Nothobranchius furzeri: one gene and its partners. The protein of the gene in region 1 interacts with the protein of each later gene in a pairwise test. Links are inferred from orthologs where the notes say so. Each region holds a gene or a part of one and is shown on either strand. Other genes may lie near its edges. The genes, in order: drap1, pole3, nfyba and gtf2b.

Region 1 (4,017 bases):
CACTCTCCTCCTCAGCACCAAACCTGTACACCTGCGAGGGTCTGTTACTCTCCAGCCAGCCTTCAAACTCTGATCTGGGAGTTCTTCTGGAGTCAAAAACTATCCAGGGATCCATGTCTGCAGCCATGGCCTCAGCGGCAAAGGCCTCAGCCATGAACGGGGTTTCCCCCTCTCCATCTACAGGGGCTCCTTCTCCCTCCATCATGCTTTTAGAGTGGACGAATCCAGTCGTTTGTTCTGCTGAGTGGAAACAAACAGTCTGGCTTTAAAAACACCTCACATGTTTGAATACACAAACACACGGCCTGTGGTACTGTAGTTCAAATTACCACTAAAACTACAAGCCCCAGAATGCATCAGGACAGAGCACTGCTACCAGTCTGGAGCCGCCCTAAGGAACTCTGCTCATTTGATTAGAAACATAACAAACTTGGAGGTTTGGACTTCTCAGTACAGTAGTTTGATTGAAGCCCCAGCGATGTTGGGTTTGTGGCTCTGGCTTTTATCTGGCAACACAGGCTCGTCTTCAACTAGCAGTTTTTACTTCTCCTAACATTTTAAAAATTAATATTTAAATTTGCGTACTTTTATTTTCATCGAGGGATTTTAAACAGTCGTGAAAGCATTTGGTAAATGTTTAATACAATACGTTAAGGAAAATAATACGATATATTAATTTTCTAGAAATCTCACTTAAATAAGAAACCACAAAAACATTATAAAACATCTCTTCCGCTATCGACCCTGAACTCTGACCAAGTTTATAACGTTTGACCCATCTGGCCTATAAGATTCAGCGGTGCCAACTAACAGACCACATTTAGCATAATTTACTACATATTTAAAGCATCTTACCAAAACCCTGCTTGTTCTACAGATTGTTCCCCATTCGGACGACTGTTAGCAGCTCCTGTTTGCAGTAACATGAAAGAAAACAACCGAACTACTTCCTTCTAGTTGCTGCTAGCCAACTGGCTAGCTGCAGCGGTTTTTCATAAGGCGCTGCACTTTCGCTCATGCGCATTGGGCAGAGCTGTTGTCGCCCGACTGCAAAAGAGAAAACTTAGCTTTCAGGCAAATACCAATAGAATGCCCATTATCTTAGTGAACTATTCGTACTAATAATGGTCTTTAAACATTAATATATGAAACATATCTCAACTAATTAATACGTGGAACGCTCAGATTAAAATGCTAGCATCACAGTGTTCGCTGGAAGTTAGCGGAACCAAAGTGACCGGACCTGTTTGCGGAGGAGCACCAAGGAACGACTGACGACGTGCTAACAAGTTAGCCGGTTAGCTACCAATATCTGTTGTATGTGCGGTTGGATTGAATCACATATGATATACGAATATAATCCTGAATACTTTGTTTTGTAGTTTATCCTCCCAGGTTGTTTAACTATGCCCAGCAAAAAGAAGAAGTACAACGCCAGATTTCCTCCGGTGAGTCAAAACTTTCATTTGAAACGAGCAAACAGGAGCAGCTAGTTGTGGTTAGCTTCAGGAGATTCGGGCTTTATTTGGTCTAATGGAATGGAAAACCAAATTAGCATCCCTGATGTTTTTCACTGAACTACAACTTAGCCACTTACAGGTTGTAGGTTTCCCTCAATCAGCTAAAAAAGCTATTTTCATGTATATATTTATTTGCTGAGACATCAGTCGTTCGACTTGACTTTGGTTGTTTTTAGCATTGCCTACCACCGACATGGTAAATTATACATGCAGAAATTCTATGATAGAGTTCTTGTACTTATTATTTACCTGCATATGGACTTGCATATAACAAAGTTAACACATATGTAAATAAATGAACTGAGGGGTTGGGTTCTTCACTGAGCTGTTTTTAATGTTCTGCTAACAGTTAGTCTGTGATACGATTTTACAGTAATGAGGAGAAAAAACTGCTTTAAGACATACAGAAAATAACATTTATTTTTGTTTTAGGCAAGAATTAAGAAGATTATGCAGACAGACGAAGAAATCGGCAAAGTGGCTGCAGCAGTTCCTGTTATTATCTGTATCCTTTTTTCTGTAAAGGTTGGATATTTGCGAATTGTTGCTTTTACTTGTACAGTCATGTACAAACTACAAAGCATTTTGAATCTCTGTAATATCTTTGATGAAAAAATCATTTTAAAGAGAATCATAAGCATTTATGCTGTTGTTGATGTTTCCTTCACTGAGTCATCAGCGAGAGCTCTTGAACTCTTTCTGGAGTCTTTGCTTACAAAGGCTTGTCACGTCACCCAGTCGAGGAATGCAAAGACTATGACAACATCACATCTGTAAGTCTTGTGTTTGAGTCAAACCTTTTATTAGTGTGTTATTTTACATGTAAACATAAAAAAATATTCAGATTTAAAGATTCATTGTTGTTTTTACTGTTACAGCACTTCAGGGTTGAATGTCAGCCCCCTCATTTATCTATAATACTCACTTTTATCAAGTGCTGTAAAAAGTATCTGCCCCTCAGGTCTTTGAAACATTTAAAGAGCAAGTCACCCCCTACCAGAGTCTTACTCCACTCCCTGTTTAAAAAATGCAAGTGCTGTTGTCTAGCAGATCGAGAGGGCGGAGCCGCTAATAAATACACACACATTCTCACAGACATTGTGACATCATAATGTACCAGCTAATGTCATGGAGTACCTCTTAGCCCATAGCGATGGCAGATTTAAATTCAAATGCAGTGCAGAGTTTTTATCTGAAGACGATTCAATACTGACGGTTTTAAGCAGAATATTTATTTAAATTTGAACTAAGATGCACTAAAGGGCCAAAATATTGACTCCATGTCTGTGCAGCACGATTAGACACTCAATTTATCAGCAAAAAAAAGTGGTTTTGGGGTGACTTGCTCTTTAAACATAAAAAAAAACAGATTAGCAAAGAAGCATCCTCATCAGACAAAGTTAACTAGAATAAATGGAAAATGCAGTTTTCTAATGATTATTTAATTAAGGGAACAAAATCTGTGTAAACCAACCTGATCCTACAGGTTGATACACTCTGAAGCAACATCTGCAGTCAAGTGTCTATGATATAACTGGTAACGAGTCCTGCATGACTGTGGAGGAGTTTTGTCGTTATGCAGTAATAATAATTCAGCCACGTTGGGAGGGTCTCCTAGCCTGGCAAGCCAGACTAAATAAATGTATTATTTAGTCTGGCCACGCTCCATTGACGGCTCTCGGTTGTGGGGCGGGTTCTACCGTTGTCTTCCAAATGATCTCCGCATTCCACTGGACAAAGAATGTGACATCCTCTTGTTTCACTCTGTTGCATCATCCCACCCACCAGGCATATAGAGTGCCCTGATTGGCCCACAAAGTGGATAAAGCTCTCTGATTTGTTCACTAAGCAGATAGAGCACTATGATTGGCCCACCATTATGGACCAATCACAGCTCTTTATGTGTTTGAAACCCCTCTAGAGAGCTGTGATTGGCCAGCCAGAGTCCTGGTAGGAGCTGCGGAGGTCCCAGTGGAGCGTGCCTGGACTTTGCAAAGCAAGAATTTGGTCTAGTTCACTAGGCTAAGGGTTTCCAGCATGAATGACCTGTTTAAGGTCGAAGGTCAGATGTTGTCCTTCAGGAGAGCTGATTCCAGTTACAGCAAGTGGCCCATGTCCTGATGCAGCAGAGCAGCCCCTGACCATCACACTGCCACCTCTATGTCTGACTGTTACAATATTCTAGCGCTAGTTTTACTCTAGATGGAGCCTTCTACAACGTTTTGCCTTTGTCTCATCAGAGCAGAATGTTTCCCAAAGGCCTTGTGGATCATCTACACCAGTGGTTCCTAACCTGGGGGTCCCGACCCCCACAAGGGGGCGCCAAAGCCTCTCATTGGGTCGCCAGGACCTCTCCACTTTAAGGGGTTAAAACTTCATTTATTACTTGTTTATAGCCTACATTTTGCTCACATTTTTTTCATGAGTGAAAAGTTTACTGATATTAAGACAGGAAATAATTAGTACAGAAAAAGTAACACACTTTTAAGAACATTCT
Region 2 (4,170 bases), on another chromosome or scaffold:
TAAATTGCTTTGTCTTAAAATGTTGGAGCATTAACTAATGTCCTAAAATGAACTTTTGTTGGAAAATGAGCATTTCAGATGTTCCTGCGGCGATGGATTGTGTGTAATACCTTCCACCCAAGTCTGCGTCACTGCAGGCTTGGGTGAAGTGCGGATCAAGGGTGCAAAGCGGGCGTGATCGGCTTTCCCATTGAGAATTGACGCCTCACACACCTGGGTCAGTATTGAGCTAGTGTGGCAGTGTGAGTATTGGGGTTGGGCCAATATCAGGCTGTTTGGACCATTGAGGTGGACCTGCTGTTAATTTTATCGTTTTATTTTTTTTTTGTATATTTATGTCGATGGTTTGGACATGGTGCTTAAGGTAACTCCTGGTCATGTGGTTAGATGACTTCTGTGTGCTGAAGGGTCCAAGGTCACTGATCCTTGGAGGGTTCCTGAACTGTGTTGTAGAGGAACCTTCTTCCTCAGGCCCCTGCTGTGGAGGTAACCTGCAACAGGAAGACTTCCTGTCTGATCTGAGACAAATCTGAAGGTTTCATTACAAACTTTTATTGAAGGACTTTTGTAATAAATGACTACAACAGTACAAATGGTAAAGAAAAAAACTGGGATTTCATTCTAAAACAGAACCCAGTGAAAGTCTTCACTCTGATATCAGAGGTCCAAAATCAACCACAGAAGTTTGAGGGGAACCTACGAGTCAGAATGGATGGTGACCTGGTGCAGGATCAAAAGTCTCAAACGTTAGGCCCATAAAGAAACGGGCCGACTGTTTCCTGCGAGTTTGGACGGGTGTGTGTCCGGTCTAACATCAGCTACCCAAAGATGTGGGTGGAGTCCTCAGTTCTCCACCTCCTCTTCAGGCTCCTCCTCCATGCATTGCTGCTGCTCCTCTTCATCAGCCTCGTCATCCTCTCTGCTCTTGTCATTCTCAGAATCAACCTTTTTTTCTTTATCTTTGCGTTTCTGCTCAGAAACCTCCTTCTTTCCCTTCTGGTCCTTCTTATAGACTGTGGAGAACAAAGACATTGTTAGCTGGTCCGGCTGCTGGAACACCTGGAAGCTTCAGCAGGAACTTGAACCTGATGGCTTTTCTGTGTTTACTCAGGGGTGAAAAAGTTCCTATCGACACAAAAAAAAAAAAAAAAATCTGATAAGAAAACCACATTTACAAGAATGCTGCGTTTACGGTCCGTCCAGAGTGGGAAATCCAAGGAACTGGCCTTGGAACCCCATCATGATTCGGCATTCCGACAGAGCCAGCCTCAAACTGGATCTGCTGCCTGCTGATGTCTTCTGACAGACTATTCTTAATGATGTTCTCACCTTCCAGAGCTTCCCTGAGAGGCTCCATGAACCGCTCGAACTCCATCTCCTCCATGGCAGCCAGAACGTCTCCCGCGTTCAGAGTTTTCCTTTTAGCCTTCATGGCAAAGTTGTTCGCACTGCAAGGAAAAAGGAAACTGGCTTGAGGAGCGTTGACGGGAACCATCCAGGTCTTTCTGCTGGGTCACAAATGTGTTAAAAGCTTGATCTTGTGAACAAAAATGCAGTTTTATTGGCTTTTTTTCCTCACCAGGAGGTTGCATACAACACAAACACGCTGGCTGCCTGAGAGATGGCTCTGCGAGCTTCTTTGGACACGTTCACCCCATCTGGGAGCTGTGAGAAACAAACGGTGCGGAGGAGTTATCTCAGAGCTTCACTCTGGAGTCAGAGCCAGCTCGCAACTGCTCTTTTTCACTCACAAAAAGCTAATTCACACATGAACGTGTCAAAACGTTTAAAAATGACCAAAATCGTTCAGATTCATCATCAAAACACTGAACTTTATCAGATTTATTTAGAGATGACTTATAATTAAAAGGTCTTAACTCCGGAATAAATATGAAGTACTGATAATTTTCTCATTTCAAACAAACGGAATCTGAATGTTATTTTTGATTCAGACTCATTTTGAATTTGAGCAGATTTTTTTTTCCTTTTAAATCAAAATGCAGCAATTATTAGATCAGAATCTAAAACCCCAAATCTGATTTTTATTGCTTTTTTTTTTTTTGGTCACTGACTATAAAATGGTTTTGTTTTCTAGAACATGACAAGGGCAAGTAAAATTGTATTTTGTAGACTTTTCTTGAAGCTGGTGAAATCCAGGAGGGACTGGTTAACCCTGGTTACCTTTAATTTCTCATCCTTCTTACAGATCTGTCATGTTTGAAGGGCCAGTAGCCTGAAGGCAATTATCTCCATCTCCGTGGGCTGTTATTAGAAACAGTACCCTCAACCAGAGGAGATCTGATGAACCAAAGCTCTAAGAGCCAAACCGTGAACGTCTCTGGTTTCATGTGACGTCACCAACACCCACAACAACTGTAAACTGGGACTGAATGAACACACAGCTGATCTGTGGTCTGTTTAATCCGGACAGTGGGTGGAATCAGACGGTAACCGGTGGAACCCGGACCCGGCGGGTTTCACTCACCGCCTCCTTGATGATGCGGGTGATCACCGCGTTGGGAAGATTTAGGTCTTCGGGCCTTTCCGCCATTTCTCCCGAACCACTCCGTTTCCCCCCGGTCGAGTCTCCGGTAGATGTCAGCGCGCGTAGTTAACGTGACTCGAATCCCTCGTTCTAACGTGAAAAGCTCGCGCGCCGCTGCTCAAACCGTCGTTTGTTTCGGGACGTTTCCCGCGAAGCTTTCAACCACCACAAGTCCGCCTGCGTCAACGATGAACTTTGACCTTGATGCGAATGACGTACTTCCTGTCTTGAAAACTAAAAGTACCAGCCAACATTTTCAATAACAGTCTGCAGCTAGACGTATATATGTCGATGAGCTAGACCTTGGAGGAGGAAACGTCAGCGTTTATTTATTTTTTTACTTTATTTAACAAACAATGAGTATACAACATAGAAACGAATGAAGTATACAAAACAACAGAACATGAACACACAAAGCCAGAGGTAAAAGAAAAAAGTAACAATTATAAGAATACACGCAAAAATTCACATATATATTGTTTTGAGAGCTTTTTTTGTTGGTGGATTCTGATATTGATTTTATGTACAATTCCACATGCTTAAAAATGACAGAAATTTGGTGTTTTGTTAGTAAACTTACATTTATGAATAAAGAATTTAGCTAAAAGTATTAACAGATTTATCATAAAAAAAACATTTATCATTCTTCATGGGGAACTTAAAGAAACAGAACAAAACATCTTCCCATCGTAAAGAAAACTCCCTTAAAATATGGACAGTAACAAACCTGCTAAATTCCTTCCAGAATCTTTGTGTAAAAGAACAGCACCAAAAAAGATGTGTCACAGTTTCTGGATGATCCCCACAGAAAGTACAATTAGTGTTTATGACCCTTTTAAATTTTACCATGTAATGACTGGCTGGATAACATTTATGTAGAAGTTTAAATGAGACTTCTTTCACCTTATTTACAATAAAATATTTCTGGGGGATCATCCAGACTGTCTTCCACTTGATATCTGGAACATATCGGTTCCAATAAGATATTATATACGGGAGAGAGACGATATCTTTCTGTAATAAACTACGTATTCTCTTATTGCTGTTACCAAGTTCTAGAGAAAAGCAGATTTTTCCTATTGGTGACTCAACTGGATTAGGGAGAGTGACTGAGGTAGATATTGAGCTGTCAGTGTTTTTATATAACATTAAAGCCCCTGAGGGTATGGCACCAAGCACCATTGACAATTCCTGAACACTGATTGGGAAATTATATAGGGCAATAAAGTCGATGTAAGTAAGTAGTTGTCCCTCTTTATTAACCAGCTGAGCCACCAATAGGATCCCATTCTGGACCCAAGTTTCCAGGAAAAGTGATTTATTTTTAAATAAAATATCTCTGTTGTTCCAGATAAGATATTTGTGAGGTGAGAAGTTGTGTTTATAAATGAGGGTCCACGCTAAGAGGACTTGCTTATGGAAGGGTGAAAGTTTTATAGGGAGTTTCTCAACATTGTAATTACAATTTAAAATAAAATTAAAGCCACCAAAACAAGAGAAAATATGATATGGTATAAGGTTCCAGATAGAGGTATGGTTTTTAAGAAAATGTTTAGCCCAGTTAATTTTGAAAGTGTTATTTAAAGTAGAAAAGTCTAGGACGTTAAGCCCTCCTGATTCGTACT
Region 3 (4,056 bases), on another chromosome or scaffold:
CACACACACACACACACACACAAATGCTAAAGTGAAAGGACAACTGGCTGAGTACAGATGCAATAGGCAACAAAGAAGATGGAAATGTCATCAAAAGGAGCCAAATGCACCAGGATCAGCAGCAGCAGCCCGGGCATCACTACACGGCACCAAGAGGAGGCACAAGAAGCACCCAGGCAGACCGCCTCTCCCGGGGCAGTTGGCCCTCACAGAGGAAACACTGATAAAACCTAAAGAGATTAAGATAACAAATCAAATATCAAATTTAGCATGAACACTGGATTAATTAAATTCTAATTAAAACACACTGATAAAAGATAACCAAGTAGAAAGCAACAATAAAATATGTAAACATTATGTAATATATAAGGGCACCTCGCCTTGGGAGTGTGTCCTGACTTTGGGTATAACAAGGAGACGGCTGCCAGAGGAGAGCAGGGGCCGCGAAGGCTCGTATTTCAGAAGAAGTTCTGAGAAATAAGAAGGCCCAAGACCATTAAGACATTTAAAAAACATTAAAAGAACCTTCAAATCGATCCTGAAACGTATGGGAAGCTAATGCAGACGGGTTTAACGTGCTCCTGCATCTTGGTCTTCTCCTTGGACACGTGCTGCTGAATTTTGAAGAAATTGTAAACCTGAGGTGCTCTTTTCGGGAAAACCAGAATTCAGCATAGCCACAATGCAAAAGCAATCAAAACGTTCAATATATGCTCCTCATTTTGGTTTATATAAATCATATCTCAGCTAGTTGTTTGTGTTATAAACCCCTGATAATATGTGAGCAAATTTCATGTTCTTTTGATGTTCTTTAAAATGTTTGTGATGTTCTGAATGCAAATATTTGTTAAAAAAATACAACAACAATTACATTTCATAAAATAAAATAAAAACATTAACGATTCTGTTGGGGGACACAGTTTGGAGGCTTTTACGATGAATAACTTAAATTTAAATGAGACTAGAGAGAGCATGACTAGTTATGTAAAAAAATGACATATTTTGACGTTTGGACAGTTGCATTTCAGTGTCACTAAGAAAGTGGGAATGTATGCAACAACAGTTGATTGGTAGGGGGGGAATTAAAATGAACGATATGATCCCACTTGTGTTATTTTTAACATTTGGAAAGTCTACTACCACCACAAAAATAATCCTCCTCACAACTCATAGGTTTGACACTGTTGTTACCTTAAAATGTACGAGCCTTTAAACCAGCTTTCAGTTCTGTGATCCTAAGGTTTCCGGGAGGTCCTGGAATGCAGCACGTCCCTCTCCTGGTCATTTGTGGTAATGCGGCCGCGGCTCCGCGCTGGGACTGGTCCTTTCGCAGCCATTTTCTGTCCAACCAAACAGCCGTCTCAGGGAGGGAACCAACCAGGGCTTCATTGCAGGTTTGTGTTTGGCTCCGGCCAATGATTGCTAACCGATTCCTCGTTAGCTCGAATGGAAATATCCGTCTCTGACTGATTTTTTTTTTCATTTGTTGTCTGAGTGAATGAAGGCTGCTCATCAGGAAGAATGCACTTTTAAAATTTGTGTAAACATTTCGGCCCGGCTACGTCTTGCTCTGCTTGTGCACGACAAAAGAGCAGGCCGTTGCAGGATTGTGCTGCAGTGGATTTACGATGAGAATTAATGCGAAGGGCATTATGCCTCTAAGGTTATCTCCAAAAGGTAAAGTCCCTCCAGGACAGTCTCTGCTCATCATGCTGAAATTATTGGCTTTCTACATAATTTCAAATCCACTAAGCTAGTTATTGGTTAACATTAGCTAGCGTTAGCTAAATGTCCCACATACCCCCAGCTGACGTCTGCTCTGTAGCCACACAGTGACCAAACACATCATATCACCACAGTTAAACATTTTACATGTCACTAAAATCATCTACTTGCTGTTTAACAGACGACATGACCCAATTCAGCTAGCCAGCGACCACAATGTCGAGGCTGCTTGAGGGTTTTTCTGAATATAGCGGCAATTTCCGCTAGTAGCATGAATGAAGGGGTTTATATTTACGTAAGTTTGAGGTTTAAATTTGATTAAACATTTATTTTAACAATACTGGGGAGTATGATATTTTTTAAAGCGGAACTAATAAAACCGCTTAAATTCAGCGGCGGACACATTTTCAGTTGCGCCAAATGAGCTGCAGGAAAACAGACCAGCAGGTTCAGTCTCCGTGTGTGTTTGATCAAAGTTTTACTAAAAATACAAAGAGATGGTTTTGTAATTTGTATTTTGAAAGTCCTTACTGTCAGCCTTCTCAGGACATGACGTCAGCGCTGAGCACAAAACGTGCCAATGTTTGTCAAAACCAGTCTATGATTATTAAGCAACTAACAGTCTATGTTTAAGTGGCTTTGATCTGCCAACTTACATCAATCACTTCCTGCAGCTGAAACAGGAAATATTCATGGCTGGCTTCAAGATGTTGGCATCTGGAGCCTTTTTCTAATAAGTTTCATTTTAGGCAAAACCTAAGTATGTGTGTTACAGATGGATGGAGACAGTGCAACCACCGATGCCTCTCAGTTGGGCATCACTGGAGAATACATGGCTTCCAGTCACTATGTTCTCCAGTCTCAGGATGGTTAGTAGGACAAGGACCAGTTTAAAATCACCATCATTTCTTTTCCCTGGGTTTTAAGACTAAATTTGTGTCTGTTTTGTAGATGATGGAGAGGAGAATTTAAATGATCACGAAGATGGCGGCATAAAGGAGAACTACAGGGAGCAGGACATCTACCTTCCTATCGCCAACGTAGCTCGCATCATGAAGAATGCTGTTCCGCAGACCGGGAAGGTTTGTAAGAGAGGAGAGGAGGAATCATCAGGAAAAGGCTCTTATTGACAGAATCTGATTTGTTTTTCACCAAATTCTTTTTTTAAACAAAGTACTAAAGTTTTCATGTTTTAATATAGAATCTGATTTCAATATCCTATTGCAGAAATCATAGGTCCACTGTTATTTTTATATGAATGAAACCATTTAGCCTCCATCCATCATTCTGGGACTGATGCTAAGTAATTAACTGGGGACTTAATGCTTCTTGAGGGCTTCACTTCACTTTAGGAGTTAAAGTTCATACATTTAAATTTATTTTAATCTTTTTTTTACTCCTAACAGATTGCAAAAGATGCCAAAGAGTGTGTGCAGGAGTGTGTGAGTGAGTTCATCAGTTTCATCACATCTGAAGCGAGCGAGCGCTGCCACCAGGAGAAGAGGAAGACCATCAATGGGGAGGATATCCTATTTGCCATGTCGACACTGGGCTTTGACATGTATGTGGATCCACTAAAGCTCTACCTGCAGAAGTTCAGAGAGGTGACAACACAATCTCTATACACACTGCTGTATGAAATAAAAACTATTTTGTATGTAGTTTTACTTTTGTTGCACAGAAACAAATAATTTTCTAAGAATAAGAGCAGGTCTTATAATTTAAGGCATGGTTTTGGTCCAGAAGTGTTCAGAGTACTTATGACTCTTTGACCTTTCTTCACAAAGTTTTAAATATCATATAAAATAAAATGACTGTGTCGTTTTGGTCATATCCTTAAAATAACATCAGCTTTGTTATAACAACATTTAGCTCAGTGTCTGTAGAGCTGAGTCGTTGTTTGCTAATGGTGGTCAGGTGCATCTTACATTGTCTTCTTAAGATAATCAGATTTAGGTCTGATGTTGATTATTATTATTAAAATCCATCCTACAGCTCAGCTGATGTCTTTCTGACACATAAAAGTACAGAGAAAAATGTTCATCTGATTCCACTACCAATTGTTGGATTAATAAATTGAGGTGGATTTCAGTCCACTCGTCTCTGTACCCAGTCACGTTTCCATGCTTTTGTTCTCCTCTCAGGCCATGAAGGGAGAAAAGGGCATCCCAGGGGTGTCAGTGGGGGAAAGCCTGGGTGAGGACCTCACAGAGGACAGCTTCAGTAAGTGATGCAGATGAAACTTCTGGCAAACATTTTTAAATTCCTCATCGTGTTTGTCCTTGAATTGCTCCAACATTTCTTCCTTTTCTCCAGCAAACCCACTTCCTG
Region 4 (3,564 bases), on another chromosome or scaffold:
TGAAACGTTTTAGAGACATTAACACCTGAGAACTTGCAGCAGGAAACCTTCACCCCTGAGAAGATCAGGTCCCCAAACTAAATGCATCCCAACTCTCATTTAACGAGGGATGTCTGGACACCTGAAGAGGAAATAAGTATTTATCTGACCTTTAAAGGTTCTGGGCACCCCCTCCTGTCTGCAGGCGATGTAGAGGCAGGCGGAGGCGATGGCGTCGTTGGCTCGGCCCTTCAGACTCTTCTGCTCGTAAACCTGCTTGAACAGGTTGTTTGTTCTGTCCTGGAGAGGAGAGCCACACAGCGTGTCAGCTGGATGTTCACCTCTACAGGTGTTTAAAATCACAAACATCGTTCTGTTGGGTGAAAAACCAAGTTGATCAACTTTTCAGTGTTTAATAACTCAGATGATGTCACTCGTCTGCAGCTTCAACAAAAATCTAGCTCATTTGTGTCACTGACGGCGTGACGTAGGAGGGGCAGGACAGCTGAGTCGGTCACCACAGCGTTAGCGTAAAGCTCACAAAAGCATCAAAATCAGTCCAAATGATGAAAGTTTATTCATGTGGAGGTCGTTCCAACTCCCGTCTGTCTGGACAGCACTTCATGGACTTCCATTTGGAGCGTGGGTGAGGTTTGTCCAGGTTGGACGGCAAGATTTTACTTCAAGGAGTGTGTCTGCTTGCTCCGTAGTGTGTGGTGCGCAGAAGTGAGTGATCACAAGACGGGTTTCAGAAGCAAGGTTCAGGTCTGGCTGAAGCCCACCGCAGTACACAGCAGAGGCAGTCAACAGCGGGAGGGGCACGAAGGTGAGACGGCGTCCACAACAGTGGCTGCTCCTGGCTCCTAACCCTGAAGCTTGGTTTATGCTTGACGCATTCACGTTCCGCGCGGTGATGCGGCTCGCGGATGGAACGCGCTTCACAACTCGCAGCGTTTATGGTTCATGCGGCTTGTCTCTGCGGTGAGCCAATATTCTCCCAAACTGTAGGGGGCAGCATGGAGCTCTACGGCATGCATCCAACACTACACCATAGTAGAAGTAGAAATTACTGTTTACAACATGGCATTCCAGCATTTTTAACAGCGTCCTCGTCTTTTCCGACAGTGCGAGCTATTTCTCTCCAAGAATTATTAACAACATGGTGATCACGGTGATCTCTGAGAGCTGAATCATACACATGTCTGTATTTACCAACCTCTGCCATACTAGTTCTTGCCGGTCTGCCATGTTTTTCCGCGTCCGACCGTCCGCGTGGTTAGAAAATTTCCGAGGTGCGCGTTGCGGAAATTCTGGGTCGTGCGGAGGAGAGGCGTGGTTGTTAAAATGACGCAACTTTTCCGCGTGGAGCCGTGCGAACCTCGCGGACGCGTCAAGCATAAACCAACCTTTAACCAGCAGATTCAAGACTCCACGAGGAACTGCGGCTCTGAAACTTCCAGATTTTGGAGCACTTCATGCTTCCATCTGCTGAAAAGCTTTATGGAGATGAAGATTTCATTTTTCAGCACGACCTGGCACCTGCTCACAGTGCCAACACCACTGGTGAATGGTTTACTGACCATGGTATTACTGTGCTCAACTGGCCTGCCAACTCTCCTGACCTGAACCCCGTAGAGACTCTGTGGGATATTGTGAAGAGAAAGTTGAGAGACGCCAGACCCAACACTCTGGATGAGCTTAAGGCCGCTATCGAAGCCTCCTGGACCTGGATAACACCTCAGCAGTACCACAGGCTGATCGCCTCCATGCCACGCCGCACTGAAGCAGTCATTTCTGCTAAAGGATTCCCGACCAAGTATTGAGTACATAACTGAACATAATTATTTGAAGGCTGACTTTTTATGTATTAAAAACACTTTTATTTTATTGGTCGGATTAAATATGCTAATTTTTTTAGATAGGAATTTTGGTTTTTCATGAGCTGAACGCCAAAATCATCAATATTAGAAACAATAAAAGGCTTGGTAATCTCACTCAGGTGGAGGTAATCTGTGTGATGATGTCCGAGATGATAAATTTCTGCCAGCTCTGCAGATGACCCAGCCATCTGCATTTCTCTTTTAGCAGCTTTGGGAGTCTAAAATACTCCTTCATGGGAGAGTTGAAGCACTTCCTAGGTGGAAACAAAGCAGTCCCGGTCATTGTTGCTGCTTCTGCTGCACGTCCGTTCACTTTCACTTTAATGTGCTCCGATAATGTCTTTTAGGGTTGGGCATCGATTGGAACCGGTTCCAACTGTTAGTTTTTCCCGGAATCATTCAAAGTTTTTTATTTCGATTCCTAGAATGCCGACAGAAGAGGGATCCGCGGGCGTTCTCCGTGAAAAATAACGGTTACGGAATATCCACGAGTGAAGTTGGTTTCTGTGCAGCATTGCTGAGTTCCTGCACACCACAAACTAGGAGCAGAAACAGCATGTGCATGAGTTTTTACCATTATCATTTTATGACTACAGAACCTCATAATGACCTAACAGAACTGAAGGCCATAGCTCTACCTGTTCAGGTGTGTGGGATCTGCACTGAAACACTGGACTGACACTAAAGGTGGTTTTCCAGGAGCACCACTCAGCCTAAAACAGCTCTGTACAGCGTGGTTCGAGTCAGCCCACCTGAGTGTAGTTTTGTTTTCATGCCAGCTTCATAACAGAAAGGCCCCTCATAGGTGCAGAGGGGGGGCGTGGTTTTTACTCGTGACAAAATAACATGAGGTGATCAGTAAACAGTGTAAGGTAACCTGCCTGCTTCACAGAAAGAACTCGGCTGAAAAATGGTGGCGTTGTTGGACATTTAGCTCAGTTTCATGGCTTTTTGTCTGAACCAGGAAATGGCTGCAGGCAGTGAAACACAAGGCCTGTGACTCCGCCCCCTAGCCAATCAGCAGCCAGAATCACGATGCTGGCCAGACTCAGCCAGGTACCTCAACAGAGAAGGGACTAAAAACAGGGGAGAAAGTAGAGGGAAGATACCGAACCATGCCCTTGGGAACATCGGTCAGGCAGAGCTGCGTCGGTCCGAGTTACGCCGATGAGCTCCTCTAATGAATCCTGTCAGCTGAGTCAATAAGGCCGGTGTTGCTGTGAACTTACTACGATGTTCCTCGGAAGGTTGATCCGGTCCGCCATGTTGCTAATCTCTTTAAAGGCGTGCAGCATGGCCCGGTCAGAGCTGCTCATGGTCCGTCGGTTCTGATACTTGGAGTTCCCAAACTCGTCAAAGCTGGCAGCACCAGTTCCCTGGAGGAGAAACGTAGAGCTTCATCAGATAAAGAAGCCAGTGCAGATGTTTACCGTGGGCTCTGCATAGATACTAGAGGTGCGACTCTTCACTAGTCTCCCGACTCGATTACGATTATCGGGTCAACGATTCGATATCTCGGTGCATCACGATGATCTCATATGGATTAGTTTTCATTGATGAGTAGAAGATGGCAGATATGTGCTTTCCTAATCAGAAACACGTCTGACACACCACGCCGTCCCCCAAAAGCTCTTCAGTCACAACAGTTCTTAGAACAACGTTAACGGGCAAAACTTTTAAGAAGATTTAATGAAGTCGTTCAACA

The links.
Region 2: the proteins of drap1 (region 1) and pole3 interact in binary tests that used the Homo sapiens proteins (3 or more experiments, as listed by UniProt). The two-hybrid records come from large-scale screens. The link is inferred for Nothobranchius furzeri from reciprocal best matches to the Homo sapiens genes DRAP1 and POLE3.
Region 3: the proteins of drap1 (region 1) and nfyba interact in binary tests that used the Homo sapiens proteins (3 or more experiments, as listed by UniProt). The two-hybrid records come from large-scale screens. The link is inferred for Nothobranchius furzeri from reciprocal best matches to the Homo sapiens genes DRAP1 and NFYB.
Region 4: the proteins of drap1 (region 1) and gtf2b interact in binary tests that used the Homo sapiens proteins (3 or more experiments, as listed by UniProt). The two-hybrid records come from large-scale screens. The link is inferred for Nothobranchius furzeri from reciprocal best matches to the Homo sapiens genes DRAP1 and GTF2B.

The regions. Positions count from the first base shown.
Region 1 is NC_091754.1:63,718,551-63,722,567, forward strand, and holds the start of drap1 (dr1-associated corepressor), read left to right. Parts: upstream 1-1,158; 5' UTR 1,159-1,297; intron 1,298-1,303; exon of another isoform or gene 1,304-1,382; 5' UTR 1,383-1,406; coding exon 1,407-1,448; intron 1,449-1,952; coding exon 1,953-2,025; intron 2,026-2,199; coding exon 2,200-2,293; intron 2,294-4,017. Other genes in the region: c14h11orf68 (UPF0696 protein C11orf68 homolog), read right to left, coding at 1-205. UniProt on the Homo sapiens protein: The association of the DR1/DRAP1 heterodimer with TBP results in a functional repression of both activated and basal transcription of class II genes.
Region 2 is NC_091749.1:66,564,619-66,568,788, forward strand, and holds pole3 (DNA polymerase epsilon subunit 3), read right to left. Parts: upstream 2,740-4,170; 5' UTR 2,552-2,739; coding exon 2,486-2,551; intron 1,666-2,485; coding exon 1,580-1,665; intron 1,449-1,579; coding exon 1,330-1,448; intron 1,014-1,329; coding exon 844-1,013; 3' UTR 531-843; downstream 1-530. UniProt on the Homo sapiens protein: Accessory component of the DNA polymerase epsilon complex. Participates in DNA repair and in chromosomal DNA replication.
Region 3 is NC_091741.1:63,172,878-63,176,933, forward strand, and holds the start of nfyba (nuclear transcription factor Y, beta a), read left to right. Parts: upstream 1-1,256; 5' UTR 1,257-1,259; coding exon 1,260-1,394; intron 1,395-1,403; exon of another isoform or gene 1,404-1,677; intron 1,678-2,500; coding exon 2,501-2,594; intron 2,595-2,676; coding exon 2,677-2,807; intron 2,808-3,131; coding exon 3,132-3,329; intron 3,330-3,869; coding exon 3,870-3,948; intron 3,949-4,041; coding exon 4,042-4,056. UniProt on the Homo sapiens protein: Component of the sequence-specific heterotrimeric transcription factor (NF-Y) which specifically recognizes a 5'-CCAAT-3' box motif found in the promoters of its target genes.
Region 4 is NC_091751.1:71,403,555-71,407,118, forward strand, and holds part of gtf2b (transcription initiation factor IIB), read right to left. Parts: intron 3,236-3,564; coding exon 3,089-3,235; intron 280-3,088; coding exon 150-279; intron 1-149. UniProt on the Homo sapiens protein: General transcription factor that plays a role in transcription initiation by RNA polymerase II (Pol II). Involved in the pre-initiation complex (PIC) formation and Pol II recruitment at promoter DNA.